Linked DNA regions of Lepisosteus oculatus. The protein of the gene in region 2 interacts with the protein of the main gene of each other region in a biochemical or structural test. Links are inferred from orthologs where the notes say so. Each region holds a gene or a part of one and is shown on either strand. Other genes may lie near its edges.

Region 1 (7,205 bases), on a different chromosome or scaffold from region 2:
CAATTCAGAGCTGAGCGCCCCGCAGCGCTGAGCTGCTGTGTCTCAGCAGGACATTTCACTGCCAGCAACTACTGCTGCAGGCTGTGCTGTTGTGCATTTGATCAACAAACTATGACTGATCGATTGATCTCTCTGTCCCTCTGTCTGTCTTCCCCTCTCCCTCCCTCCCTGTCCCTCTCTCTCTCCTCTCTCAATTCAATTCAAGGTGCTTTATTAGCATGCCCAATGAGTTAAAATCAGTGTCGCCAAAGCAAATAAAAATAAAATGAACGTGAAACAAAACCCCAAAACATCCACAGACATATTACAGACATTTACAACAAAGACATCATAAAATAGTTCAGGTGGGGAGCTGCGTCAGCATGTGTAGTCTGCAAAGGAACAAGTAAAGGTTTATTCCTCATGACAAGAGAAGAGAGAAAACACAGCGTTTCGTCTGGAGAGTCTTCTTCAGGTGTCGAGTTGAAGGCTTCACAGTCGAAACGCTGTGTTTTCTCTCCTCTTTTCAGCAGGGAATAAACCTATTACTTGTTCCTATATGATTAAATCTTACATATACTGTAAACATCTGGAGCATTACTGGGAGAGAGGCTCACTGGTCCTCAGGCTGGGACAGGAGATCACACACTGGGCTGCCAGTTCAACTGAGTTCCCTCCTCCCACTCCCAGTAGGATCGGGAGCTGTTGTGATTCTGGCAGGTGTGGAAATTCTGGGATTAGATTTCTGAATTTAGGGAAGAATGTTTCTCTAATCCCAGAATACCTGTCACAGTGCAGTAGGGAGTTCACCTCTGTCTCCCTCCTCTCCCTGTCCCTAACTCTCTCCTCTCTCCAGTCTCCTCTCCCAGTCCCTCTCTCTCCTCCTCTCCCTGTCCTGTCCCCCTCTCTCCTCCTCTCCCTCTCTCTCTCTCCCTGTCCCCCTCTCTCCCCTCTCTCTCCCTGTCCCCCTCTCTCCCCTCTCTCTCCCTGTCCCCCTCTCCCCTCTCTCTCCTCCTCTCCCTCTCCCTGTCAGTCTCCCTGTCCCCCTCTCTCCTCCTCTCCCTCTCTCCCTGTCCCCCTCTTTCTCCCCCTCTCCCTGTCCCCCTCTCTCTCCCCCTCTCTCTCTCCCTCTCTCTCTCTCCCTCTCCCTGTCCCCCTCTCTCTCCCCCTCTCTCTCCTCCTCTCCCTGTCCCCCTCTCTCTCTCTCCCTGTCCCCCTCTCTCTCCTCCTCTCCCTGTCCCCCTCTCTCTCCCTCTCTCTCCCTGTCCCCCTCTCTCTCCCTCTCTCTCCCTGTCCCCCTCTCTCTCCCTCTCTCTCCCTGTCCCCCTCTCTCTCCCTCTCTCTCCCTGTCCCCCTCTCTCTCCCTCTCTCTCCCTGTCCCCCTCTCTCTCCTCCTCTCCCTGTCCCCCTCTCTCTCCTCCTCTCCCTGTCCCCCTCTCTCTCCCTGTCCCCCTCTCTCTCCTCCTCTCCCTGTCCCCCTCTCTCTCCTCCTCTCCCTGTCCCCCTCTCTCTCCCTGTCCCCCTCTCTCTCCTCCTCTCCCTGTCCCCCTCTCTCTCCCTGTCCCCCTCTCTCTCTCTCCCTGTCCCTCTCCCCCTCTCTCTCCCTGTCCCCCTCTCTCTCCCTGTCCCGACAGGAGTGCTCACTCAGCCCAGAGCCCGTGTTGGTTCTGACCCGCGGCGGCGAGGGCAGCTGTTCTTACAGTAGGCTGGGAGGGCGCAGCAGTGCGCTCGGCCGTCCAGGGCTCCTCTGCGGCCGGGTCCGAGCGGCTCGGCGGCGCCCCCCGGCGGCGGCGGGGGGGCGCTGTCCTGCGAGGGGAACGGTCGCTTCCGGAAGGGCAGCTTGGACGCCGGCGTGTCCGGGCCGGGCCTGGGGGGGCTCGGGGGGCCGTGATGCCCGTTACAGCCCCGTCCTGCGGACGCCCCCCCCTCCTCTGCCGCGGGGCGCCTGCGCGCGGAGGTGCTCAGGTCCAGGGGTCCGGCGCCGCCCCGCTCCATCCTGCAGAGCCCGGGTTCGGGCCGGGGCTGGGGTGCAGATCCGAGCCGCCACGGACTCTCAGGCTGTGGGGCGCCTCAGGCACATCGCACCCCGGCTCGGAACCACAGAACCGGAGCCACGCACGCCAAGCAGAGAGCTGCCCCCCCCCGCCCAGAACTGGACCCGGACCCGGACCCGAACCCCAACCTCGTCGGGGGCGCTCCTGCAGCAGCGGGGTCGGGGGTCCGGGGGTGATCCCGTGGGCTCGGAGCAGAGGAATCCCGAGGAGGCGTGAGGCTGGTGCACAGCGGAGCAATCGCCAAAAATAAGACACCGATTCCTCACAAACCAGCAGAATCGGTTCTCCGGTCCTCCTGCAGCGCGCAGAGTCGGGGAGAGGGAGAGGGAGAGGGAGACGGGGGGGGGGGGTGGAGGCAGAAAAAACTCCCGAGGAAAGGCCGGCGGCGGAGGTCCGGGACCGGGGCTGGAGTCGGTGCCGAGCGGAGCGGGTCTCGGGTTCGCCAGCCGTCGGCGCTGTCAGCGAGCGAGTGCGCGGAGACACGGGCGCAGCTGAGCGACAGCGCTCTCTCTCACACACACACACAGAAACACACAGACACACAAACTAGGAAGTGCACCGAGCGGGGGTTTCCCTCGCCGGCTGCTGAGAACTTCAGCCCGGAGCTGTAACCCCTTCGGCGCCGCCCCGCGCCGGCTCGCGCTTCCGGTCCCTTCACTTCCCCCGAATTCTCGTGCTGTTTCTCCAGTAATAGTGGCTGTAAGAAAAAAAAACCCGCACGATGAGACTCCGGACCCGAGCTTCCTAGCAGGCCGGCGGGGAAGCGGTCGAGAGGGCCCGGAAGGCGAAGGGCCGCAGGTGATCGCGAGCTGCCCGCCCCGGGGTGAACTTCGGCACCGTGCCTGAGCGAGACACCTCCTGGGACTCGATACTTTCCGTGCTTTTCTAGGAGATCGGCGCGGTAAATCACAGTGAGAGCGGGGTAAAGGCGCAGTACAGTGCAGTAAATCGCAGTGAGATCAGGGTAAAAGCACAGTACAGTGCAGTAAATCACAGTGAGATCAGGGTAAAAGCACAGTACAGTGCAGTAAATCACAGTGAGATCAGGGTAAAAGCACAGTGCAGTGCAGTAAATCACAGATCAGGGTAAAGGCACAGTACAGTGCAGTAAAGCCCAGTGAGATCAGGGTAAGACACACAGAGGGTCTGGGTGGGGTGACCCTGTGACCAGTGTGTGTGTGTGTCCGTGGAGGAAGTTCTTGGAGAGGAGAGGAGGGACGTACCCTGGAAACCATTCCTGGAGCCCCAGAGGGGCGAAGAGAGAGGAAATCACCTGGGATTCACAGGTCGAGGCCTGGAGAGCCACCAGCTGCTCCCGCGAGTTCTCAGGCTTACAACACCAAAAGAGTCTCCAAATTCACAGTGATCTCAGTATCTGATCGAGAATTATCGGTACTTGTCTATACAGCCTACAGCAGTGCCCCTAGTCTCTCCTGCAGCAGTGCCCTGATGCCCTCAGTCTCTCCTACAGCAGTGTCCTGATGCCCCTAGTCTCTCCTGCAGCAGTGCCCTGATGCCCCCAGTCTCTCCTACAGCAGTGCCCTGATGTCCTCAGTCTCTCCTACAGCAGTGCCCTGATGCCCTCAGTCTCTCCTGCAGCAGTGCCCTGATGCCCCCAGTCTCTCCTACAGCAGTGTCCTGATGCCCCCAGTCTCTCCTGCAGCAGTGCCCTGATGCCCTCAGTCTCTCCTACAGCAGTGTCCTCAGTCTCTCTTACAGCAGTGTCCTGATGTCCTCAGTCTCTCCTGCAGCAGTGCCCTGATGCCCTCAGTCTCTCCTACAGCAGTGCCCTGATGCCCTCAGTCTCTCCTACAGCAGTGTCCTGATGCCCTCAGTCTCTCCTACAGCAGTGCCCTGATGCCCTCAGTCTCTCCTACAGCAGTGTCCTGATGCCCTCAGTCTCTCCTACAGCAGTGCCCTGATGCCCTCAGTCTCTCCTACAGCAGTGTCCTGATGCCCTCAGTCTCTCCTACAGCAGTGTCCTGATGCCCTCAGTCTCTCCTACAGCAGTGTCCTCAGTCTCTCCTACAGCAGTGCCCTGATGCCCTCAGTGTCTCCTACAGCAGTGCCCTGATGCCCTCAGTCTCTCCTGCAGCAGTGCCCTGATGCCCTCAGTCTCTCCTACAGCAGTGCCCTGATGCCCTCAGTCTCTCCTGCAGCAGTGCCCTGATGCCCTCAGTCTCTCCTACAGCAGTGACCTGATGTCCTCAGTCTCTCCTACAGCAGTGTCCTGATGCCCTCAGTCTCTCCTACAGCAGTGCCCTGATGCCCTCAGTCTCTCCTACAGCAGTGCCCTGATGCCCTCAGTCTCTCCTATAGCAGTGCCCTGATGTCCTCAGTCTCTCCTACAGCAGTGCCCTCAGAGCCCTGCACGAAGCAGGGAAGTCCTGCAGCACAGCTTTTCATACACTCATGCTGATCCCTAGTGGTGGCTGGGTGAATGTGCAACTGCGAGGCTTCTAAACTTGCTCCAGAGTGCTGATCACACAGTTCCACGAGCCCTGCGGAGAGCTGCTCTGTACATCGCAGGTGTTGTGTGCGTGGTGCTCTGTGTGCTGTGTGCTGTCTGTTGTGTGTGTTAAGGTAGGGGGCAGGGTGGCTGCTGCTGGTATTTTCAGAATCTCCCCACTTTGAAATACATCTATGAACCGGAAAAGCCTTCCTCTTCCTCTCTCTCTCTTCCTCTCCCCTTCTTTCTCTCCTAATACCCTGTAGTGTCCAGTCAGTGAGTCTGTCTGAACCCCTCCCTCTCTCAGTGCAGTGTTAATGTACTGGAGTGTCCAGTCAGTGTGTCTGTCTGAACCCCTCCCTCTCTCAGTGCAGTGTTAATGTACTGGAGTGTCCAGTCAGTGTGTCTGTCTGAACCCCTCCCTCTCTCAGTGCAGTGTTAATGTACTGGAGTGTCCAGTCAGGGTGTCTGTCTGAACCCCTCCCTCTCTCAGTGCAGTGTTAATGTACTGGAGTGTCCAGTCAGTGTGTCTGTATTAACCCCTCTCTCTCTCAGTGCAGTGTTAATGTACTGGAGTGTCCAGTCAGTGTGTCTGTATCAACCCCTCTCTCTCAGTGCAGTGTTAATGTACTGGAGTGTCCAGTCAGTGTGTCTGTATTAACCCCTCTCTCTCAGTGCAGTGTTAATGTACTGGAGTGTCCAGTCAGTGTGTCTGTATGAACCCCTCTCTCTCTCAGTGCAGTGTTAATGTACTGGAGTGTCCAGTCAGTGTGTCTGTATTAACCCCTCTCTCTCTCTGTGCAGTGTTAATGTACTGGAGTGTCCAGTCAGTGTGTCTGTATTAACCCCTCTCTCTCAGTGCAGTGTTAATGTACTGGAGTGTCCAGTCAGTGTGTCTGTATTAACCCCTCTCTCTCTCAGTGCAGTGTTAATGTACTGGAGTGTCCAGTCCGTGTGTCTGTATTAACCCCTCTCTCTCTCAGTGCAGTGTTAATATACTGGAGTGTCCAGTCAGTGTGTCTGTATTAACCCCTCTCTCTCAGTGCAGTGTTAATGTACTGGAGTGTCCAGTCAGTGTGTCTGTATTAACCCCTCTCTCTCTCAGTGCAGTGTTAATGTACTGGAGTGTCCAGTCCGTGTGTCTGTATTAACCCCTCTCTCTCAGTGCAGTGTTAATGTATGGGAGTGTCCAGAGGTGTAGTATTGCTATGTAGTACTAGTATTAGCCCCCTGTCTCTCTCAGGTTTCTAGTTACCTGGGTGACTTTGGGACTTTCCACAAGCTGCATTTATTTAGAAAGAAACAGAGAGAGCAACGGAAAAACTGCAGTTTGAGATAAAGTCCCTAGAAACCCTGAATGAAACAATGAGACCTAAAAGATCAGCTGTTGAGAAGGAGCAGCTGTCCTGATCTTCAGTTAGAGATCAGGGGTGGAGACAGAGAGGCGTCACTCAGCTCCTTCACTGCCAATTAGAGATGATTGTGTAACCCTGATACTATTAATGGAACTGTTGTTATTACTAAAACTGCCACTGTAGTATTCAGAATACTGTAGTATTATCTAGTATTGCTTCTGTTGTTGTTATTTGTATAACTGCTGTTATTACTACTACAGCCACTGTAGCTGTTACTACTACTGCTTTTATTAAAAATACTGTCACTGTTACTACTACTTCTTCTCTTTCTGCTTTTATTACTACTTAACATTGGCTGCAGTTACTACCACATTTACTGTTGTTGCTCCTGCTTCATCTTCCCCAGTTGTGTCCGAGAGGATGAGCGTCCCTCTGCTTCTTTGCTGCTGCTAGCACTGCTCGCCCTGCCAGCCGCCGCCGGTACTGCAGCGTGCGTGCGGGTCTCCGGTCGCTTTGCTCCACTTCGTCCGTCCTGCAGAACCGGGACACAGAACCTGACGGGGAATTTAAAACAATCTGTCACACGACAATCGCTGCTGTTCTTACTACTGCTGCTGCTGTTACTGCCACTGTTACTACTGCAGCTGGTGTTACTTTTACTGCTGCTACTGTTACTGCCACTGTACTACCACTGCCACTGCCAGTGTTACTGTTACTACTACTGTCACTGTGGTTACTACTACTGCTACTAGTGTTAAGTTACTACAGTTACTTTTACTGCTGCTACTGTTACTTCTACTACTGCCACTGTTACTGCTCCTGTTACTACTACTGTTACTACTGCTACTGGCAGTGTTACTACTACTGCTACTGTTACTGCCACTGTACTACCACTGCCACTGTCACTGCCACTGCCACTGTCACTGCTCATGTTACTGTTACTGCTACTGCCACTGTTACTACTACTGTTACTACTGCCACTGCCAGTGTTACTGCTACTGCTACCACTGCTATTGTTGCTTTTACTGTTCCTGCTGTTACTGCTAGTGCTGCCACTGTTACTACAACATCACAGAGAATCCCTCAGTAATAAACACACAGCAGGACAGGAGACACAGTGAGAGAGAGGAGATCACAGAGAATCCCTCAGTAATAAACACACAGCAGGACAGGAGACACAGTGAGAGAGAGGAGATCACAGAGAATCCCTCAGTAATAAACACACACAGTAGGACAGGAGACACAGTGAGAGAGAGAGGAGATCACAGAGAATCCCTCAGTAATAAACACACAGTAGGACAGGAGACACAGTGAGAGAGAGGAGATCACAGAGTATCCCCCAGTCATAATCACACACAGTAGGACAGG
Region 2 (7,443 bases):
ATCTGACAAAAAGGCTGTCTGCTCTTTTGCTTTGCTTAATTTAGCAAGGCCACAGTCATTTCAATACATCAGAGGAAGAATCAAATCAGTCCAATGCAAACAAGATGGGCACAAATTCTGTCACAAATGGAGAATTAACCCACAAAACTGAAATCATCACCGTCACCAGTTTCAGCTGTAGCGAGGAACCAAGCATTGGCACAGCTGCACAGACAGATCAGGTAGGAACACCTTGGATTTTGTTGTTTTTCTTGCTTTTAAACCCTGCATTTGTAATAGTCTCTATTTCGGAGCTGAGTAGTTTATGTGGAAGGTACGGAAGCTTATTTTACTGTTCTGATTACGTGGAAAGCTTCATTACAAGTGTGGTGTCTCAACTGAATTTCCAGGTACATCAGCCCCGCATACCATTAAGAAAAAAAACATCAATCATGGTGCCTTCATTGATCTCAAAAAGCAAAATATGCACCATTATTTCCACAATGGCTAATGATTTGATCGCCTACTGTACAGTTGATTGTGGGAAATATTTTCAAGATCACACAGGGTTTCTGTTATGTAACAGATATTCTAGGTAGGTTTGTACTGCTGCCTACAAAAATTTTCCCAGATCAATTTGGAACCCAAGTCCAAGTATATTTATCAATATATGTGTTACAAATAAATAAAGCATATTTATTTGTACAGATAATTATTCTTTCACCAACACTTCTGTTTTCCCATGATGGTTTAATCTGTTGTTATTCAAAGGCTCAATTATGACAAGAAAGCACTGAAAACAAGATATATTTCCACAGTCTGTATAGAGGTTTCTCTGACTTAGCAAGTATAAAAGAAAAAACATCACATCAACCATCCCTTCTCCATACAAATATTCAGAATTGACATTAATTTTGTAATTAAAATGATCATCTAACTTTGCCCATGTGTAGCTGTCCATGTTTTCCTTAGAGCATTGAGTCCTTTTCACCAAGCATTTGGGGCGTCCTCACTGTTAAATGTATTTTTTACACTATTTATTATTTGCAACACCTGAGATATGTTACATATGTGATGTAGAGAAGGTAGTAAACCAGTCAGTAATCCTTGTAGTAAACCAGGCAGGCTGGACAAAATAACAAATTTACTGTACATTTCAGGAGCATATTTTTACATTTCAGACAAATATTTGTGACTGTTACTTAGTATTGATATCAGCGGCTCCCAGCAATCAAGCTACCTTCTGCTATAATGTTTTTACCAGTTAGTCTATGCGTGCATAACGTGTATAACTCATTCGAATAGTTTCTTGGCAGAAGTCACATTACATGAAATCAAGTTAATGGCAAAAAAAAAAGATGATCCATCACCTTAATTAGGAAAGAAAACATCTTAAAACAAAGGTAGAATAATAACTATAAATGAACTAAGCTCCTAGGTTTAGATATAAGCCCCAGAAGAAAAACAGCTTGGTGTTGTTTTTAGACAGTACCACCTATATAGTGGCATTGTACAACAAGAATAACTGAACCTTGTTTAAATTATTTTCTTAGGTCACTTGCAATTCAAGTAAACAAGTTTTAGTTCTACTGTATGTAATACAGGCATTGCCTCATTTAGGTGCAGTGAGGTCCAAATCATTTATCACTTAAAATAATGTAATTAGGGAAAATAATGTTAATGGTTAACAGCATTTTAAATCACATGCTATATGCTGACCTTGGATCTGACCAAAGTAACAAACACAAGTGACCTCTTGCAGGTTAAAGATAGGTAAGTGATTGCATGTGTCATTTTAGACATTTAACACACAAAATATTACATGTGGCACTTCTTAATTTTAAAATGTTTTTTTCCTCACTGTATTATCACTACTGGTAGATTGCAATGCAAGGATAGCGCTATGGTCTCTTCACGAAACCTGCATACTTTGCAGTTTACTTGGTCATTTGGGTATAACATCATGTGCAGATGTGCACTTCTATTTTTGTTGGCATAAGGAAGAAGAATTTATGTTAAGTTTTTATACTTAATTGTTATTGTAATACTGATTGTATTAAAGCCTTTGAATTATAATTTCAAATGTAACCACATTTCTTCAGATAGAGTTGCTACAGGCAACTATACTGGATTTGTTGTTTTTCAGAGAAAAAGATGTGCAATATCCAAAATATTGGCATTCATGCAGGGTTTATTGCTTTGTTAGACTTGTAAAATACAACAGTGTGCTTTAATTTAGGTAAAATTCTGTTGTTTACAGTGTAATATCACCTGTGAAAGGTAATATGCAAATAGCCTCTTAGTTTTGAAACATTGCCAACAATTATATTGCTTTTTGCTGGCTGAAAACATGCAACATATGCACGTATCTGCACACATCCTGTAGTCTAATGAACTTTTTTCAATAGAGACTAAATTATTTTACAACATCCTCATTTCATTGCTTGATAGGTTTCTTTAGTTGGACAGGGTTCAAAACTACAGCAGTATTACTGTACGATATGATATTATTTTTTGCTGAAGCAAAATGATTTCAAGATAAAACAGACCAGTACTACTGGGCCAGTAGGCACAACCTGCTGAATAATGAAAATCAGTAACAGTGATATTAGATCATCAATTACTACAACAGGTATGATAAACAAGTCCAGGAAAAGTAATATCATATTTCTTCAAATATAAAGAGGCTGTCAACCCTGTCTCCCAAATGTCAGCAAAACCGCTAACTCAACCGCTAATTGTCCCACTTTAATTTATTTGTATTTTCAAAAATGATATACATACAGTAGCTTTTGGTCCTCAGTGCAAACCTGATATACAAATATTTGACATTATTGAACTTCTGACACCAGTGTTGCATGCATCCTCAGAAATCTGGTTTATTTTTATTGTGTATTAAAAACCCCTAACATGTAACCTAGACGGCAAATATCAATACAAGCCAAAAGACTTTAATTAGAACTTACCTAATTCTGGAAAATCATTGAAAAAAAAGACAAAAAGCAGTGGTTTTACATTAAATTGCCCTGTGGATTTTTTTTGTCCCTTTCGACTCACTACAACACTCCTGTGCTGCTTGACATGCTGTATTCACAGACGTTAGTACAAGCAAGCCCAGGATGTGGTTATGGACCCAAAGGTTTGCTTGATAAAAATAGCTGCAACATGTGCATTATTTAAATGCAGCTTGCCCTTTCATCTACTTCAAAACTATCCTGGAGTATCTCTTTCTTGAAGACTTGAAATTTCTCTTCAATTTCCTCTTTTAAAAAAAAAGAATAAAAGACTGTCATTGATATTTACCCAGCATCAGAGATGATCATCCTTGCAGAATCTCTGAATTCCTTAAAAATACTGTAACAATGTTGGTTAAATAAAATCCTCTTGAACATATTTTACTGTGGACAAGTCAATTAGAATACACAATTTAGACACCTGTCAGAAACTGCAGACCAGGGAATAGCAAAGCCTTACAATCCTCTCTGTGTAAATCCTCACACAGAGTTTGAATGGAATAGTTCTTAAACTTCAAAACAGAGTTAGCTGATCATCTTTGCAACAAAGCTAGGTGGGTCTAAAGACCTCCAGTCCTTTGCAAACATTATCTTACTATGAATTAAAACCTTTAATTGGCAACAAATCAGTTTACATTGGACTGAATTACATTGCCTGAAAAGAGGCAGACTGGAATCAAAAGAGCATCAAGGCAAAATCTCATTTTGTATGCTTAAAAGGAATGCACTTTTTCATCAAGTAACAGCTTCTTTTTGATAATGTACACTTATAGTTATACTATATTATGCACTGTTCCCCAACTTTTTCATTCTATGTAATTGAGTTACCAACAATCTATTTAAATACTGTCTGCCTCAGATTTGATTACTCTGCTATTATTTACTACTTTGCATAATAAAGTAGTTTTACTTCAATAACTTGTTTCAAAGAAAACAATGATATTGACTTATTTAGTTTGGTGTATCACTACTCTCTTTGCAATCCAATAGTTGGAAAACATCCAAAGAATGGTAAAATCAGATTAAATTCAAATTGCATTTAATTTCTCTCTGTTCTCGTAGGATATACAGGTGTCACGGGGATACTGTCGTTGGTTGAGCGGACCTAGAATTCGCAACATAAAAACAGTTGCTTGGATGATCACGCTGAGTGACGCGCTCCACAACTTCATCGATGGCCTGGCAATCGGCGCCTCCTTCACAGTGTCTGTGATCAATGGTGTGAGCACCTCCATTGCTATTGTGTGTGAAGAGTTTCCTCATGAGTTGGGTACGTACCATTTATTAATCTCCCGCACTGGTTCAGAATTATAGCATCATCTGGACTAAATTGTTGTATGATCTTCCTTCTGGCAAACCTTTAGGTCACCTTTATGTTTGTGCTCACAGTAGGAATGTATTGACTGAGGAGTAGGTAACCTACAGTACACTTCTTCAATGTTACCATAAATATAAAAAAAATACATACCAATCCTAAAGAGTAGGTTTATCTTCCATGATCTTCTGTCACACAGCTTCCAGAATTAATGGCCATGAGCAAACTGCAAAAAGAGGAGCTTCAATGAAGCTATATTTGTCAAGTGGCAGGGGGCAGGTTTGCCTTAAAAGATGTAGTCATTATTAATGACAAAGTGATTCTGAATGGTTAAGAGTTGAAAATTCATTCTGAAGAAAAATGAATGGATTAAGCTGACGGAACTAGAAATTTACTGTGAGCATGCAAAGGTGCGGAATACGCTACAGTATATCCCACGCCAACATACAGAAATGAGAATAATGCAACAATATTTTCCACCACTATAAGATTATTCTCTAAAGTCGACCAACGAAATAGTGTTTAAATTACATGAAGAGGTTTAGAAGTTTTCTTGATTTTTGATTCATAACGCTATACTATATATTTTCAAAACAGCACCAACAAAACCTAGATTTCATTTCGTATCTTTAAAATTATATGGGATAAGAACATGAGGATAGTAACAAATGAGAGAAGGTCATTTTGGACCATCTAGTCCATTTGGTCGTAGTAAATTGATCCAAGGAACTCATCCAGCCACTTTTTGAAAGAAGCCAGGGAGTTGGCTGGGTATCTTATTCCATACCCCCACAACCCTTTGAGTAAAGAAGTGTTCTCATTCTTTGTTTTAAATGCACTTCTATATGTTTTTCATTTTGACTGTGTGGTTCATGTTGTACAGTTCATTCAGAATACATATGCTGGGCTGACCTTTAATACTTACATCAGATTGTAACTGTATGGGATTCCCTTGTAATATTGTCTGTTCAACACTAAAAAGGTCAAGTTCCTTCAGCCTGTAAGCATAGAAACTTCCCTTATAAATATAAATGAGGCCTTACTAATGTATCATGCAATTTTAACATATCTTGATTTGAATCTTATGCTTTTAACTATACATCCTAGTTTTTTGTCTTTTTAATTGCTAATACAGAATCAGTTCAGCTTAAATGTTGCCCGAGAAAACCTCCTACTTTGTCAGTAAAAACCTTCTACTCTGTCTTGAGTCTATTTGCATTATAAAAGGCTTGGATAAAATTGCCACCGGTTCAGTAAATGGTTTCAAATGTGTGTTTTTTTTCATCCAGGTGATTTTGTGATCCTCTTGAGTGCGGGCATGAGTATTCCTCAAGCCCTTTTCTTTAATCTTCTGTCAGCCTGCTCGTGCTATATCGGTCTCATCCTGGGGATTGTTGTTGGAACCAACTTTTCCCCCAATGTCATCTTCGCATTTGCTGGCGGAATGTTTTTGTACATCGCTCTGGCAGACATGGTGAGTGATGTGTTTCTTGTTACAATACTGTTCCATTTGTTCTGTGAAGGTTACCTCTTAGTGTATAGCAAAGCACATCACCACCTCCTGTTTTCTTACCTGATAAATTAGTCCTACTTTTACAGAACTCACTGTACTCATTTGTAAGTACCTCTAAAGTTTTATCAGCTAGGAAGTAAGTCTATTCTGATTTGATTATTTTGTTTTTAGTTGTGATACAGTAGGGATATCTGTAAAGCAACCAATGGCATACTACCTACTGTATATTTTTCTTTATGGGCCTAGTTTTCTCAAATTTTCATACATCCACATGTAAATTTCACATATTTCATATAAGGGTCACACATTTCATATATTCTGCAAGACAAGCTGTTAATCCTATACTAATGAATAAAAATGACCTACTGTATAACGGAAATACACTCTCAATAGCTGTAATTTGAATAATAAAGTAAGATATAGTTGTTCCTTGAATTGCAGATTATGTGGCTGACCTTAACACTGTGTCTTATTATTGTTTCCTTCATTCAGAGTAGGCTGTAGAAAATGAAATGAACAACGGGAACAGGCACAGTAGATTTCACCCAATCTTGTAGTGCAATACAGTCATATCTCCATTCTTTTATTATTAGGGAATGTAGCAAGAGGGACTATAAATTTTATTACATATTGATTTGCTTAAGATGAGCTCCAATTACTCAAAAGCTATGTACAGAAAAAAGAAACTGCAAAGTTTATAGTGCAGTCAATTCAGCTGTTTTGCTTTTATGCTGAGTTAGAGCAAACCAAAGTCCCTTTTCCCTGGCAGATATTGAGAGAGGAATTCCAGTATGCTTTAACTTCACTTTAAAATCTGAAATCCTCCATAGTGCAGAAATGCAAATGAATTTCAGTCTAAGGTTGCATTTTTATAAGGGCCTGATAGCCCAGTAACAACCTTGGGACCTACTGGGGCTGCCTTAGAAGAACAGCCTATTTATACTTTCTTGTGGTTGTCATCAAACAGGGAAAATAAGAATCAAGGCAGAATTCAAAGACAAGAGAGAGAATGAAATGGCCTATTCAGTAGTAGTAAGGGAAATTCTGGGACATCTGGATGGCCTAATAAAGAGTCCAATTTTTTTTAAAGCAGTTGAGAGTCCTGAATAATTCTGAATTCTTAATGAATGCTAAGTCCTGTAAACCACTGTCATTTAGAATAATTTCTGCCCTTACAGATTAAAGAATGAATGTATTATGAAGCATTTCATACAGCCAAGATTTATATACCACCTGTTGCATATAAATCTTATTACAATGACTGCAGTCAAAAGCAGAGGAGTTCTATGTCCTAACCTTTACTTACCTGAGTGTTCTCTTATTTCAGTTCTTAGAGATGAATAACATCCAGGGAGATCATGAAAGAAACACAAGGAGCAAGATCATATTTTTCACCATTCAGAATCTTGGATTATTAACAGGGTTCTCTGTCATTCTATTAATTACAATGTTTGCAGGAAACATAAAACTAGAATAGGATGCACTGCTGGTCTTAGACAACAGACTAGCACCTGTTTCATCGTAACCGTTATGTTAAATCTTTGCTTAGCTCTTGTGTAACGTCACAAAAGTTTTCCCCATTTTTAGGCCAGGCACTTTCATTTTACCTTTGGTCTTAGGTT
Region 3 (7,405 bases), on a different chromosome or scaffold from region 2:
GTGTGTGTGTGCCCTGTGATGGACTGGCGTCCCTTCCAGGGCGTACCCTGCCTTGCGTCTACTGCTTGCTGGGATAGACTCCTGCTCCCCCACAGCCCTGAATGAGAAGATGGCGGGACAGTAAGATTGGTTTCCATTTTCGAGGACGTCGGTCAGCATCAAACGTTTGAAAAGTGAGAGAGAGAGAGAGAGAGAGAGAGAGAGAGAGAGAGAGAGAGAGAACTGGGACGCTTCAGAATCGAGCAGATCCAGTCGGCCCTTCTGGTCCGGTTCGTAGTTAAGAGTTAGTTGATGCCAAGACCTCACCCAGCTGTTTCTTGAAAGAGACCAGGGGTGTGACTTCAGCCATAAAATACTTAAATTATTTCTCCCGGCATGCCAAATTCTGGCAGCCCGGGACGCTTCTGTCAAGTATTAAAGGCCTTCGAACTATATTATCATTCCTCGATGCTGGAAGAAAATAAACCTGTTTTTGGTCAAAGGTCCACTTTTGTGTTCCCGTCACACGGGGATAAGATTTTAATCGCGGGAGAGGACGTGCGCGCGTCCGAGATCTGTTAGGTAGACAGCTGCTTTCAAACACAACCGTTTCAGGCAAATCGCCACAGCTTAAGACAACTGAATGCGTGCAGTATTAAACCAAAGACTGTAGATGACACAGAAATTCGCATTTCTATTTCTAAGCCAGAATCCTGACCAGGTCTCGTGCACTCCTGTCCTGTACACACACACACACACCCACCCACACACACGATGACTAACGGAAGGAGATGACACAAGTCTTCCTTCTCGAAAGCCCTTGTGGCCTTCAGACGCCCGGCCCTGCTCGGGGCTCAGGGTGTCCCATTTTGAAATCCGCGTTTCACAAGAGTATCACCCACACCCTCCACCAGCTCTTCTCTGAAGTCCGCAGCGGGACAGCCGAAGGGAACCACCCCCTCCCCAATTCCAATTCCGAGAAAGGTGACGTTTCCAGTTGCAACACCTCAACGTGCGGCGTGGGGCTCCCATGGAGAAGAAAACAACCGAGGGTTAGCAGAGCCGAACGCTCTTGCGGTTTCGAAACTCAAAGCATCTTCCATCGCTGGGAAAGGCGCTATATAAAAACAGATTGAAATGAAAACCAAATTCAGCGGACGACTTCAGATCCATACGCATTCGAGATACGAAGTGCTGGCAGAAGGCTTCTGTTTAAGTGACAACATCAGTTCGACTGATAAATATTCATTTGCCCACGGTGTATTTGGCACACAGCAAAACACAGGAGTTGATAGTCCACAGCTTTGACTAAACAGAGAGAGGTGGTGCCATTGGCAGAGTGGGGGCTCTGTGGCTGGGAGGTTGCAGGTTCAAATCCCACAGCCGGCAGAGGGATCCTACTCCGTTGGGGCCCCTGAGCAAGGCCCTTCACCCCCAGCTGCTCCAGGGGGGCTGACCCTGCGCTCTGACCCCCCAGCTTCTCTCTCCCTGTCTGTGTGTCTCCTGGAGAGCAAGCTGGGGTCTGAGAAAAGACACATTCCTAATGCAAGACATTGTATAGGGCTGAAAAAGTGATCTGATCGAGATCGTGCGAGTGACGTCATGCGATAACTCGGGCGACCTTCACGAAACTCCGTTAATGATATCCCATCGTTAATTACACCGGCAGGCAGGGGGGCACAACAGCGCAGGGCGAAGGTATCATCGATCTGCAAACCCATTTAAGCGAAATAAACCCGATGACACCCGGAAGAGCAATATTAAAACAAAGAGGCGTTATTATACGAGGCAGCACGACTCAATAACAACATCGCGCTGCAATGCGCTTCAAGATCAACATTGAAAAGCTGCCTGCTGGAGATCGGGAGCTTATCCTGCAGTAGAAAGAGCTACAGGCGTCTTCTCTTCCAGGATGAGAGCTTTTTACTACGTGAATCGGGAGGGATGGAGTTTTTCTAAAAAAAAAATAACAAAGGACCAGATGACAGATGTTGCGATTTTGAATCTGCACGAATTGTAAACTCCCCCCACCACCACCCAGACCGCAATTTCGCTGCCCGGGTGTCCACAAAACGTCTTCAAAACACGTGTTTTACCTACCCGCAGTGTGCGGCGGGAGAGAGACTTGGTTGTAGCCGAGTTTTGAACCGGCTCTTTGAACTTTGTCAACATTTACTTGCGCTGCCCAACGTCAGGCCCTGCCGGGGCGATCCGCTCTCTGAAGAGCGGATCGAGAGCAGGGATCTGGCCGACCGGCTGGGAGATCGTACAGAGGAACAAAGCTACACGCCGGGCGAGGGAGGGGGGTGCAAAGCCAACCGTGGGAGCCCTTCTCTTACACACACAGCGTGTTGATGAATCACGATCGCGGAGCATCGAGTTACAAACACACACATACAACAAGAGGACGGCGCAGCCAACACCGGCTGGGACAAAACCGCAGGCACCGGCGCCTCTCGGTCCCATCGATCGGCTGGATCGGGACGAGAGAGCTCATACAGCACCAGAGACCCGGCACCAACGGGGATCCAGGCTCGGACCGGCAATTCGGCGACCAAAACTACCAGAAACCACCTCCCAGGGCTCTGTGTAGCTGCCCTGAAAACCCCCCTTGATAAGAGGTGAAAACTCCCCCCCCCCCCCCAGTGTTGCGCTGCCGCCGGGAGAAAAGTTTTGAGCGGCGGCCGAACAATGAATCAGTTGTCCGCTCTCACGCCCGGCGCCCTCGGCTGCCGCGACCGGAGAGACGTCGTGGCTTCTCGCCCGCCCGGCTTGCACACAACGTCGCTTCTCCCTCCCTTGAACCCCTCTCTCCCAGCTCCCTGCCCCCTCTCTCCTCCGAACCCCGAGCCCTTCGCCACCCGCCCGCTCAGCTCCGGCGAACGCGCTGGAAGGCGAGAGAAGGGGAGGGAGAGAGAAAAAAAAACAACAACAACAACACTCACAGTTTGACTACATTCTCCACGACGGCCGCCATCTTGGTTCGCCTCCCGTCTCGGACGACGGCAGCGCGCGCCTGCGCAGAAGACGACGCGCCGAGGTCACGTCGAGCTCGCGCGTGTGGCCGGGGGGGGGCCGAACGCGGCCGCGCCGGAAGCAGCCGGCGCGCGCGCGCCTCTCACAGAGTTCCGCCTAAAGCGGCTTCTTGCGTTTCGTCTTTTTAAATTTTTTTTATTAAACGTATAAAGATTTTACTAATACAACTACACTTCTTCTGTTTCGTCGTTTTTTCTGCCTTTTTCGTCTTCGTGACGTTAGCGAACTAGCATACTTACTAACCTTCACTTTTTAAGAAGTGTGCTGAGAATAATAATAATAATAATTGCTTACACTTCTATAGCGCTTTTCTGGACACTCCACTCAAAGCGCTTTACAGGTCATGGGGATCCCCTCCACCACCACCAGTGTGTACCCCCACCTGGGTGAGGCGCCAGTCCGCTCCCCACACCCCAGCTCTCAGTGGGGAGGAGAGCAGAGTGATGGAGCCAGTTCAGAGAGGGGGTTATTAGGAGGCCATGATGGGTCAAGGCCAGGGGGGAAATTTGGCCAGGACATCGGGGTAACACCCCTACTCTTCTCGAGAAACACCCTGGGGTTTTTAATGACCACAGAGAGTCAGGACCTCGGTTTGACGTCTCACCCGAAGGACGGCGCCTGTTTACAGTCTAGTGTCCCCCGTCACTATACTGGGGCATCAGGACCCACACAGACCGCAGGGTGAGCGCCCCCTGCTGGCCCCACTAACACCTCTTCCAGCAGCAACCTTAGTTTTTCCCAGGAGTCTCCCCTCCAGGTACTGGCCAGGCTCCCACCTGCTGAGTCTCCAGTGGGGCTGCCAGTTGTGAGTTGCAGGGTGATATGGCTGCTGACAAGATAAGATAAAGATCACTTTACTGGCCATATAAAATTTCTTGCATTATGCATATAAGTGTATATAATAACGTGCCAGTATAATAAGTCAATCACAATCGATTTTGTTGGTATTATTTGCAATGGAATTGAAATTTAACATTACATCTATGTCTGTCCAAATGCTAGCAATATTGGCCTCTTTTTTTTTCAAAATACGTTTGCAGATCAATCTAGAATGTTTTTACCAGAGGACATAACCAAAAATAAATGTTGGGCTACTTTCACAAAAGAACATTTTTTAAAACCTTTTTTTTTAATTATTGAACATATAAAGAATTTTACAAATACAACTACAACCAGAGGATCAGAAACAGGTACAAGAGACAGAAATCACAAACAAAAGAAAAAAAAATACAAAAGAACACAGTTATCATCTATATTAATTTTGGAATGGCCAGCAGCCATATCGCCCTGCAGCTCCCCACTGGCAGCCCCACTGGAGACTCAGCAGGTGGGAGCCTGGCCAGGACCTGGAGGGGAGACTCCTGGGAAAAGCTGAGGCTGCTGCTGGAAGAGGTGTTAGTGGGGCCAGCAGGGGGCGCTCACTAATGCCCCAGTATAGTGCGCTGCCCTTTGGATGAGACGTCAAACAGAGGTCCTGACTCTCTGTGGTCATTAAAAACCCCAGGGTGTTTCTCGAGAAGAGTAGGGGTGTTACCCCGGAGTCCTGGCCAAATTCCCCCCCTGGCCTTTACCCATCATGGCCTCCTAATAACCCCCCTCTCTGAACTGGCTCCATCACTCTGCTCTCCTCCCCACTGAGAGCTGGGGTGTGGGGAGAGGACTGGCGCCTCATCCAGGTGGGGGTACACACTGCTGGGGGTGGAGGGGCTCCCCATGACCTGGAAAGTGCTTTAAGTAGAGTGTCCAGAAAAGCGCTATATAAGTGTAAGCAATTATTAATATTAACTTGAAATCGCTGCACGACAAGGGTCTTGACTAGGCTCTCCGCTCAGCCGCTAGAGGGAGCCACAGTCCAAGCTATATTTGCACACCATTTCTGTCGGTCCTGTACGTTGCGTTAAATATTACTCAGACGTGCGTGGGGGTGAGAAAGGCGTGTTAAACTATCACCACAGCCCTGCAGAATTCAATCACACAGCGAAAGGAGAGACACTCCTTTGCGTGGAAGATGGGGGGGGTGAGATTCTTTTCAAACCTGAGGTTTGACTTCGTACGCTGTGTGATTTTGCCCCAGTACCGGGTTCTTTAAACGTGCCGTATCAGGGGGGTCAAAATGAAGACTTGTCCGGGGGTTGTGTGTGCAGGTAAACGGATCTGCGTGTCCGTATCCGGTTCCCAGATGGACCACAGGACGTGAGCACCTTGCGCGACTCGTTCTGAGATGCCGTTTCCAAAAGCTACGATAAGACCCCGTCGAGTCAGAGTGAAAAAAAAAATATTTTATTTAGGTTTGAAAGAGGAGCCGTAGAGTTAGGGGGGGTTATTGAGGAAAAAGTGGTCGCGTTTCATACAAAATAATTCACCCAGTTAAGATTCTTGTTACCCATTGATTTCAAATTAATCTAGATGACAAATGTGGTTTTTTTTTTGTGTGTGTGTGACAACAGCCCTGAAACTATTCAGCTCTTGTTTGTCCCAGGGTACACATTTTCTGGACTAAGTTGCAGAATTATATTTAAAAAAAAGAGACCAATCTCGATGTTTGTTGTGATGAAAAAGATGTTCACGTTCGGCCCCATCGAAAACAATCTTAAAATTGCGTTTGTGATCCATTTAATTATTAGAACGGCACGTTATTACATCCATACAATGAAGTGGTCTGGGAAGAACCCTGTGGTTGAGCGTTTTACAATGGAAGTGAGAGGGTATTTGCAGACTATTTTGAAGTGCAAAAATCTGAAAGCGGTGCGGACGTTATTTTCAATTTGTTTTTCAAATAACTTGAATTTATGGAGTAATATGTACCCTCCCCCCTGACGATCTTTGTGTCTTGAATCGTTCTATGTACTCTTGTTTGAACTGTGCTTGTTAAGCAATCAAGTGTGCCTATTAAGTGCGTGGGGTGGGGCGAGAGGGTTCCTGGATTCGTGGATACAAGATAAATGAGACAGGCGAAGGTGCTGGCTAGGACACTGAGCCAATTTGGGCGTTAATAGCCGTGAAAGACGTTCCCTGTGTCCGTACAAGCAGGATTGAGGGTCTGAAATTGAAGCCTAGCTAGGGGAAACGTTATACGCGCTCGGGCATTAAACTTTTAACAACAGGAAAGGAAGGTATAGGATTTCAGGCCAGCAGCGCAGAGGTTATCGGGGGGTTTGGCGTCGGAGAAGACGCAATGCAATTTCAGCGCCCGGTTGGACTAATGTAGCGCCGTCCCGAGCCCCCGGTCTTTCGGAATGGCGGCCGGCTGGGAGTCGGTCCGGAGGTCGTGCCGGGAGCGGGCGTTCGGGCTGCTGGCGCTGGGCTACGTGCTGTACGTCCTGCTGGGCGGGGCCGTGTTCGCGGCTCTGGAGCAGGCCGGCGAGGTGGCCCTGCGCCGGGAACTGCGGGAGGTGCGGGCCGCCTTCCTAGACGATCACCGCTGCCTGCGGGAGGCCCCGCTGGATGCCCTGCTGGAGGAGGTCGTCTCGGCCGGCCAGCACGGCGTGTCGGCGCTGGACGACAGAAGCGAGGAGTGCAACTCCGACTTCACCTCGTCCCTCTTCTTCGTGACCGCGTTTCTCACGACGACGGGTAGGTGGGAAGGTGGTGGTGGTGGTGGGAGGGTTACAGTTTTGACTTCGGCCTTGTGGCGTCTGTTATGTCGCGCCCAGCGTCCGTTTGGGCTTTTACGACGCTGTCGCGCTGTGGGTTTTGGGGGAGGTTACCGCTTTACGGCACCTGGGTGCCTTGGCGGGGTTCAATGTCGCACCGCTCAAGATCTTCAAGTTCGGAGCTGATAAAAAAAAAAACCGCCCTACATGTGCAGAAGGTTCCGATTGGACCGGCTCCGTGAGGGATTGGGGGGTGGGAATGAGAGGGCTCAGCTGGGAAGGAAAACCAGGAGATGTGGGGGGGTCCCCTGTGGGAACCCCCCCAAATTATCCTGTAAAGGACAGGAGGGATGGACCGTACAGCAGCTTAGATGTTCTGTCTGGTCTCAAACAGGTGGAGGTTTAAATAAGAACGAGGCGCTCTGGTACTCTAGTAAAACTGGTGTTTTAGAACTTGGGGATCCCCATTTGTAAAGATCTTGAGCCATTTGCAGTTACCATGATTAATCGGACAGGTGGCTCATTATGTGATGCCGATGGGGGGGTGGAATCTGAACATTTCTTCTTGCTTAATTGCCAACTCGATTGGCCAGCGCGCCTGATCTTTCACGAAAACGGGCGATTTGGGGGTTTCGGAGGAGATCCTGCAATCAGGAGAGGGGAGACCCTGCTTTACACAAAGGGTGGCGGGGGTGTGGAACAAGCCGCTTAGCCATGCGGTGGAAGCCGGTACCCTGGCTCCTCCCAAGCCGCAGCTGGAGGGGATGGCTCCAGTCAAGATGGCGGCGGGGGGGGGG
Region 4 (6,904 bases), on a different chromosome or scaffold from region 2:
CTGCACATGACCTGGTCAGAGTTCTGGCTGTCGTATTCTGGACCTACTGGAGCTTGTTCAGTGTGGATTCAGATGCCCCAGTGGGTAGGGCACTGCAGTTCATCCTTTCCTGCTGTTTCCCTTTACAAAGCTGGGAAACAATCTGTTCTCTCTCTTTTCCCCACCTCTGGAGTCAGGAGGATGCCTGCTTCCTCTCCGTCTTCCTAGCTTGACCTGCTCCGTGACACGCACCCCCCCTCTGCTGTAATGACAAGGTCAATTAAACTGTCAGTGAGCCTGTAGGTTATCTCCACCCTGTCCTTCCTAATGCTGCTGCCGCCGAAGTGAGCGTTCTTTGCATTGGTGTTACGAGTGGGATACTCCGCCACAGGAACACGGCAACGCGAACGCTGTCCAGCCTGAGCTGGGGGAGTGATGGGCTGGCAGGCTGACGGTGGCTCCCTTGCGCTCACTGCCCCGGAGGAGGTCGAGCTCTTGCACCGCTCTCCTGCCATCGAAGACAGAGGGGGTCATTTAGCACCACCCCCACGAGCTGTGGGACTTTTCTGCCAAGGCTCCACAGAGGACGCCAGCCAGCACCACCCTAGCGAGTCTGTCCGGTGACAGGCCCCCCACCCCACCCACCACGAGCCTCAGGACCCTGCTGCCAAAGCAAGTGCCCTCCGCAAACCACAGCAGGGGTGCCAAAACCCAGCTGCTCTGAATCAGCTGAAGCCCCCCCCCCAGACCATGAGCCGCGGGGTACTGTTGTCATGCCTGTTCTTGTCACAGTCCGTGATTCCTCTGCTGGCCAGGTGAGGGCTGTGAGCCGAGGACGCTGGCTGGTCGCCAGGCGGATGGGAAGGCCAGGAGAAGCCAGCGCCGCCGTGTCCACGCGCGCTCCGACAGAAAGTTGCCTCTATGGAAGAAGGCCCACCCGAAGCTCGATAGTCCCAGTGCCGGTGTCATCGCCCTCCCGACATGTAGCAGGGACCTCAGGCGCCTGAGATGAGGGAGGTCTCCGGCGTAATGCAAAAGGGAACCAGCCCAATGAGCTGAAGGAGACCTCCCTCAACTCAGGCGCCTGAGGTCCCTGCTACATGTAGGGAGGGCGATGACACCGGCACTGGGTTCACGCCCAGGCATTGTGGGACAAGCCAGCGGGGTGGAACGGCGAGGGCAAGAGCCCGCTTGGAACCACAACAGTCAGACCAGCTGATGAAGGCAAGCCCTCCCTTGTTGCTGTATCCCAGCAGCCACTGCGTGCTCCTGTCCTCTCCAGACCAGATCCCTGCTGCTGCCCACTGCTCGGAAGACAGTCAATCCAACTCCAGGATTCCCAATTCTAACTTCATTGTTGGACTGTCCCCACGAACTCTCAGCCTTTACCACAGGTTCACATTTCCTGCCTTTTCCCTCATTAAAACCATGTGCAATCCCTCCTCTCCCACTCCCCTGTTAATCCAGATAACGTTTGCTTCCTCTCTGCCTCTCTCTCCTCCGTGACTAGCTGGCCACGCTGTAATGAAAAAGGCAATTAAACTGTCAGGGAGCCTGTGAGTCGTCTCCAGCCTGTCTTTCCTAAATGCCGCCGCCGCCAGGACTGAAAGGAAAGCGTTCGTTGCAATATTAACATGAACTGTAATCAAAAGTACATAAAAAGCACGACGCGCTACAGCTTCCCACTATGCTGTAAAGCCTAATATAATGGAACAAGCAACCCATTCTCTTTGAAGCCGATACCCTGGCCTCTGTCATAAACTGACTGTAAGGGATCATCGAACCGCTTAGCTACTCTAAACGAGCAACTTGGGACGAAACGTCTATTACGTTTGCGTGCTTTCTCAGGTTGGCGTGTGCTTAAGGTAAACCCGAAGTAACTTCTATAGCGACATCTAGAGGTAAGAGAAAATTCGGTTTCTTAAAATGACCACGGTACAGTAACCATAGCAGTGACAATTTGTTATAGAGGTTTCATTTTGGGTTTTGTTTAGTCACGACTGTGAGACACACTTATTGGGGCAAAAGGTATTCTTGAGGCAATAGGTTCTGGAAAACATTCAGGTCTTGTTTCGGTAACGCTATCAGCTCAGTTCCCTTTGATACAGTCGACGGACACGGCTCTGTTAAAGCTCCAGCTACCTTTATTGGTTGGTCTAGAAACGATTTTGACCGGTGTGCCTACCCCTTTCAAACTGACACGTATCTGTTTCACTGAGAAATTCTGTTGGATCTTTATACAGCTTTATACAGAAGTTAAAATTAGAAAATACAGCCCTAACATGCATTTTATGCCAATGAAAATAGTTTTTTTTGTGTGTTTTCAAATCCTGGTATTAAAACTGCATTGTTCTTCCAAAATAATCTAGCTAGGTACATTAAGCCAGGAGATGCTAATACATCTGTTTATTCAACCTTGCCTTGCTCAAAATGTTACTAGACAATATGTTTTAGCATTGTAAAAGTTCTTCACTTGTGGATCACAGAATTGATTTTAAAATGGCTACATTAAAAATAAAGCTCTTGGTGATTAAGGTACTGTATATCTTCAAGAGATACTTAGTACGTATGCTCACTAGATCTACAGACTCTCTTTGCTAGTTGGGCCAATTGGACTGAGTTAAATAAACCATGACTCCTTGACTTCTATTGTACCTCAGCTGAAAACTGTTAATTTAAAAGTATTTCTAGTCAAAATTTATTTTTTTCCCTTTTGTATGTAGGTGTTACATTATTTTCTATTTTTATGCTTTGGGTTTCTCTGGTGAAAGGAACATTAATAATAATAATAATAATTGCTTACACTTATATAGTGCTCTTCTGGACACTCCACTCAAAGCGCTTTACAGGTAATGGGGATCCCCTACACCACCACCAATATGAAGCCCCACCTTTTGCAAACAGCCATAGAACACCAGAACACTCATCACATATCAGCTATCAGTGGGGAGGAGAGCAGAGTGATAGTTCATAGAGGGGGATTATTAGGAGGCCATGATTGTTAAAGGCCAATGGGAAATTTGGCCAGGACACCGGGGTTACACCCCTACTCTTTTCGAGAAACGCCCTGGGATTTTTAATGACCACAGAGAGTCAGAACCTCGGTTTTACGTCTCATCCGAAGAACGGCGCCTGTTTACAGTATAGTGTCCCCGTCACTATACTGGGGCATTAGGACCCACGTGGACCACAGGGTGAGCGCCCTCTGCTGGCCCCACTAACACCTCTTCCAGCAGCAACCTTTTTTCCCAGGAGGTCTCCCATCCAGGTACTGACCAGGCTCACACCTGCTGAGCTTCAGTGGGTTGCGGGGTGATATGGCTGCTGGCAATAAAACTTACAATTTACATTGCTTTATAGAAGAATTACATACAAAATTCAGACTTCGTATGAAGTACGTTAGGGCAGAGTGGTGGCACTGTGGCTTAGGATCTGTGCTTGTGGCCGGAACGTTGCCGTTTCATATTCCGCGGCCGGCAGAGGAATCCCCTGAGCAAGACCCTTAACCCCAACTGCTCCAGGGGCGCTGTACAATGGCTGACCCTGCGCTCTGACCCCAGGCTTCTCTCCCTTTCTGTGTGTTTATGTCTCATGGAGAGCTAGCTGGGGTATGTGAAAAGACGAATTCCCAATGCAAGAAATTGTATATGGCCAATAAAGTGATCTTAACTAAAAAAAAGTAGTCAGTGTTTATTATTGTGTAAGGTTCGCAATTACGTTCAAAATTAAAAATTGCATGAAAACGCGTAACGGATGGCGAATATTCCCATTCGCTGTTTTGTTTTTGGTCGGATACAGAGCCCAAACCGTCACGCAGGTATCGGAACTGACAACCTCGAGACCAGCGCGCGGGCACCCGGAGGTACAGGAGCGCGTGCTGCTCCGAGGCGGCGGTGACGTCACTTCTGGGAAAGTCCAAAGCGCCGCATCTGAAGGGCGGAGGGGAGGTAGAGATTACTGCTGGGAAGCGGGGAGGAAAGGGGGCAAAATTGCAGAAAAGGGGGGTGGGGGGGTTTAAACCTGTTCAGCGCCTGTCGCGGTATCGAGAAAGCGGTTCCCCCGTGAGCATGGGGCAGACCGACAGCGGCTGACGGACGGGAAGCGGGCTTGTTTACATGCAGCAGGCCGGCGGCCTCGGGTCTGGCATCCGGCTGCGAGGGGAGACATGAGCGGGCCGCTGTGACTGCGCGCTGTCAGAGCTCTTGGCCCGGAGGCTGCTTGCCGACTAAGTCTCATTGTGTGAACATAACAGAGGTGAGTGAGGCGTGTGTGGAGTCTAATCCCCACCGCGGGGGCTGTGGCCATTGGACCGGCCGAGCCGAGCTGGCCCAGGCGGGTCTGTTTTGAAACTGGTGCTCTTAGTTCAGGACGGCGAGAGGATATGGCAAAGTTTATTTTTCAGCCACTTTAAAACAAGCGAGACGCGGATATAAGGCTTCACGTATTTTAGTTAACGGTTCTTTTCCGTGTTTGTGACACGGGAGAAACAAACACGCAACAACTCCGAGTAGCCTCCGCTCCAGACTACGGATTTCATTTCCCTCAGAAAAGCGTCGTGTTGCCGGTCTGAAGTCTCGAGAGAACCGTGCTGGGTTAAAGGTCATGTCGATTCCACAGGGCTTTTCAGTGGCAGGTCGGGGTAACATTTTTGTGAACCCGTGACCCGGCGCTTCGTGACGTCGGCGTCCCGCGCTCCCGTGTTCCACTTTATCCACGAGCTGAGCTTCCAGGACGGCACGGGCCCCGGTTCGGGACCTGGCCCTGGTCTGCAATGTTGACACCCAGGAGAAGCGCTACTGGCCCTGCTGCTGTTATCCAATGGCACTTTACGTCACCCAGCTGTAAAATACCTACCCTTCAAATGTGCATTACGTGCAGAAGTGCAGTCAAAACAAGTGCGTTAATATAGTCAGAGCAAAGTGCAGTAAGATTGGAACTATAAGTACAGTCTGCATACTTGAGCAGTGCAATCCAAGGTACAAAAATAACAGGGATAAATGACAAAGAGTCTGTACAAGCTTGTCCTGGTGCTGGCCACAAATGAGCTGCACCATTGCGAAAGTGATGCTATTTTGGGCCCGATTCATGAACACAAGGGCTTTTAATCCATTTCTTAGCTCAATGTACAGCACAGACAGATGCTCAGTGCTTGAGAAATGTCTGAAATTTCGCTCCAACAGAAAGGGGATGCTTTGAGATGTTCTGGATTGAGCATTGTATGATTTTCTTTGTGTATTATTTTTGTTCAGTGTTCTCACAGTCTGGTGTATTGGACCTCACTCGCATTAAAAAAAATAATCTAAGGAAAATTAACTTTTTACAGCAGAGAATGGAGAAACCGCCGTTCAGGCAGAATCAGGTGTGCGGATTGTGGGAGATGAAGGAGAAACTGGGAACGGGAGGATTCGGCCATGTGTATTTGTACCAGCATCTGGTGAGTGCAGCAGGGATGACGGCTCTAGAAACGCTAATGCTTGGGGTAGAGAGGCCAGTGGCTGGAGAGCTATGTGGCCTATGATCAAGGACCTGGTGATCGCCAAGGGCTCGCACGCGTCCCTCAAGCTTTGTAGCTTTGCCCTCACAATTCAAGACACTCATCCATATTCCCCAGCTCCGGGACGCTGAACGTGGGCTTTTACAAAGGCATTCGCCCCAAAGCGACAGTGTAGCTGTGTGTCAATACAGAGGGACAATAAACAACTTCATTGCAAAAAAGGAAGTTTCTAAATGCAGGCGCCAGTCCCAGGGGGTGATGGCGATTCCCTCTGTCGGCCTGCGGGCTGTATCCTCCGGGGTGCTGAGCTGTACTCTACCAGTGGAGATAAACTGTCCGTCTGCATGGTGCTTGCTCTCCACTTGACTGGTGCCTCATATCCCGCCTCTGGGGAAAAACTGAGAAGCTTCTGGTAAGCTAGAGCACCAGGTTTCTAATTTGCAGCTGGGTGATGGGTGCACATCTGTTCCTGAAGCTTGGCGTGTGATCAGCACGCTGGCTCAGCGACTGATTGTCTTTGTTATTAACAAAGTAGATATTTTGGGATATTTATTCCTGTTTTGTCTTTTTTTTTTGGTTTTACTTGACACAAGTTATAACGTTTTATTGTATTTCTTTTTTTAATGTGACTTCGCTCGGTCTGCTGTTCTTTTTTTCTTTTCAAAAGGAGACAGCCGAGAAGATTGCTGTCAAGTCGTGCCGCTTGGAGCTGACTCAGAAGAACAAAGAAAGATGGTGCCGGGAAATACAAATCATGAAGAAGTACGTCTGAGACTCTGTGGAAGACAGGAGAGCTCTTCATGGCTGTCCTTCATTTTCAGCACTTCTTTTCTTCCCTCTGATTATCCTGTCGCAAGCGTGGCTTTCCCGTGACTTCCCTAAAGAATGTTTAGCTCCGATGTTATGCATATCCCAGCTTCTTGCAAGAAAGGGGAACGGCCTGTTTAAGTTTGCATTAGGACGTAGATTAATAGTGTCAAACAGTACCTTTTATTTGCATGCACCATTAAAGGATGTGGTTTTGAGGGACAGTATTTAGCATGCTTTTTTCAGCTTTGTTTCAGTATTTGCAGCATCACACTTGTGATCTTTCTGCCGGTTAATGTGTTCGTAATTTTCCGGCCTCACAGTTAAATGCATGCCATGTGGGGGCAGGGATTCCATAGCTGGTGGCAGCACAGTTGGTTAGCACTGCGGCCTCGCTGAGCCAGGGTCCCGGGTTCAATTTCCAGGTTGCTATCTGCGTGGAATTTATATTAATGTTCTCCCTGTGTTCACATGGGTTTCCTCCCACAGTCCAAGGACATACTTGAAGGTTATTTGGCTTTTGGGGAAAAATGTCCCTGGTGTGAGTGTGTCTGTGTTTGCGTCTGCCTGCGATGGAGTTGCGTCCCCTCAAGGGTGTACTCTGCCTTTCAATCGCTTGCCGAT

What was found.
Region 1: the proteins of nuclear factor NF-kappa-B p105 subunit (region 2) and bcl3 form a complex in vitro, tested with the Homo sapiens proteins (2 studies listed by BioGRID). The link is inferred for Lepisosteus oculatus from reciprocal best matches to the Homo sapiens genes NFKB1 and BCL3.
Region 3: the proteins of nuclear factor NF-kappa-B p105 subunit (region 2) and dpf2 form a complex in vitro, tested with the Homo sapiens proteins (2 studies listed by BioGRID). The link is inferred for Lepisosteus oculatus from reciprocal best matches to the Homo sapiens genes NFKB1 and DPF2.
Region 4: of the proteins of nuclear factor NF-kappa-B p105 subunit (region 2) and chuk, one has a biochemical effect on the other in vitro, tested with the Homo sapiens proteins (3 studies listed by BioGRID and IntAct). The link is inferred for Lepisosteus oculatus from reciprocal best matches to the Homo sapiens genes NFKB1 and CHUK.

What each region holds. Positions count from the first base shown.
Region 1 is NC_090722.1:10,467,857-10,475,061, forward strand, and holds the start of bcl3 (B-cell lymphoma 3 protein), read right to left. Parts: upstream 3,012-7,205; 5' UTR 1,975-3,011; coding exon 1,680-1,974; intron 1-1,679. UniProt on the Homo sapiens protein: Contributes to the regulation of transcriptional activation of NF-kappa-B target genes. In the cytoplasm, inhibits the nuclear translocation of the NF-kappa-B p50 subunit.
Region 2 is NC_090696.1:60,035,959-60,043,401, forward strand, and holds the start of nuclear factor NF-kappa-B p105 subunit, read right to left. Parts: upstream 3,018-7,443; 5' UTR 2,946-3,017; intron 222-2,945; coding exon of another isoform or gene 45-221; intron 1-44. Other genes in the region: slc39a8 (metal cation symporter ZIP8), read left to right, coding at 45-221, 4,056-4,263, 5,598-5,782, 7,149-7,298.
Region 3 is NC_090713.1:19,938,917-19,946,321, forward strand, and holds the start of dpf2 (zinc finger protein ubi-d4), read right to left. Parts: upstream 3,018-7,405; 5' UTR 2,957-3,017; coding exon 2,925-2,956; intron 2,600-2,924; exon of another isoform or gene 2,080-2,599; intron 1-2,079. Other genes in the region: kcnk7 (potassium channel, subfamily K, member 7), read left to right, coding at 6,252-6,588. UniProt on the Homo sapiens protein: Plays an active role in transcriptional regulation by binding modified histones H3 and H4. Is a negative regulator of myeloid differentiation of hematopoietic progenitor cells. Might also have a role in the development and maturation of lymphoid cells.
Region 4 is NC_090699.1:17,636,361-17,643,264, reverse strand, and holds the start of chuk (inhibitor of nuclear factor kappa-B kinase subunit alpha), read left to right. Parts: upstream 1-3,885; 5' UTR 3,886-4,233; intron 4,234-5,302; exon of another isoform or gene 5,303-5,305; 5' UTR 5,306-5,308; coding exon 5,309-5,413; intron 5,414-6,140; coding exon 6,141-6,235; intron 6,236-6,904.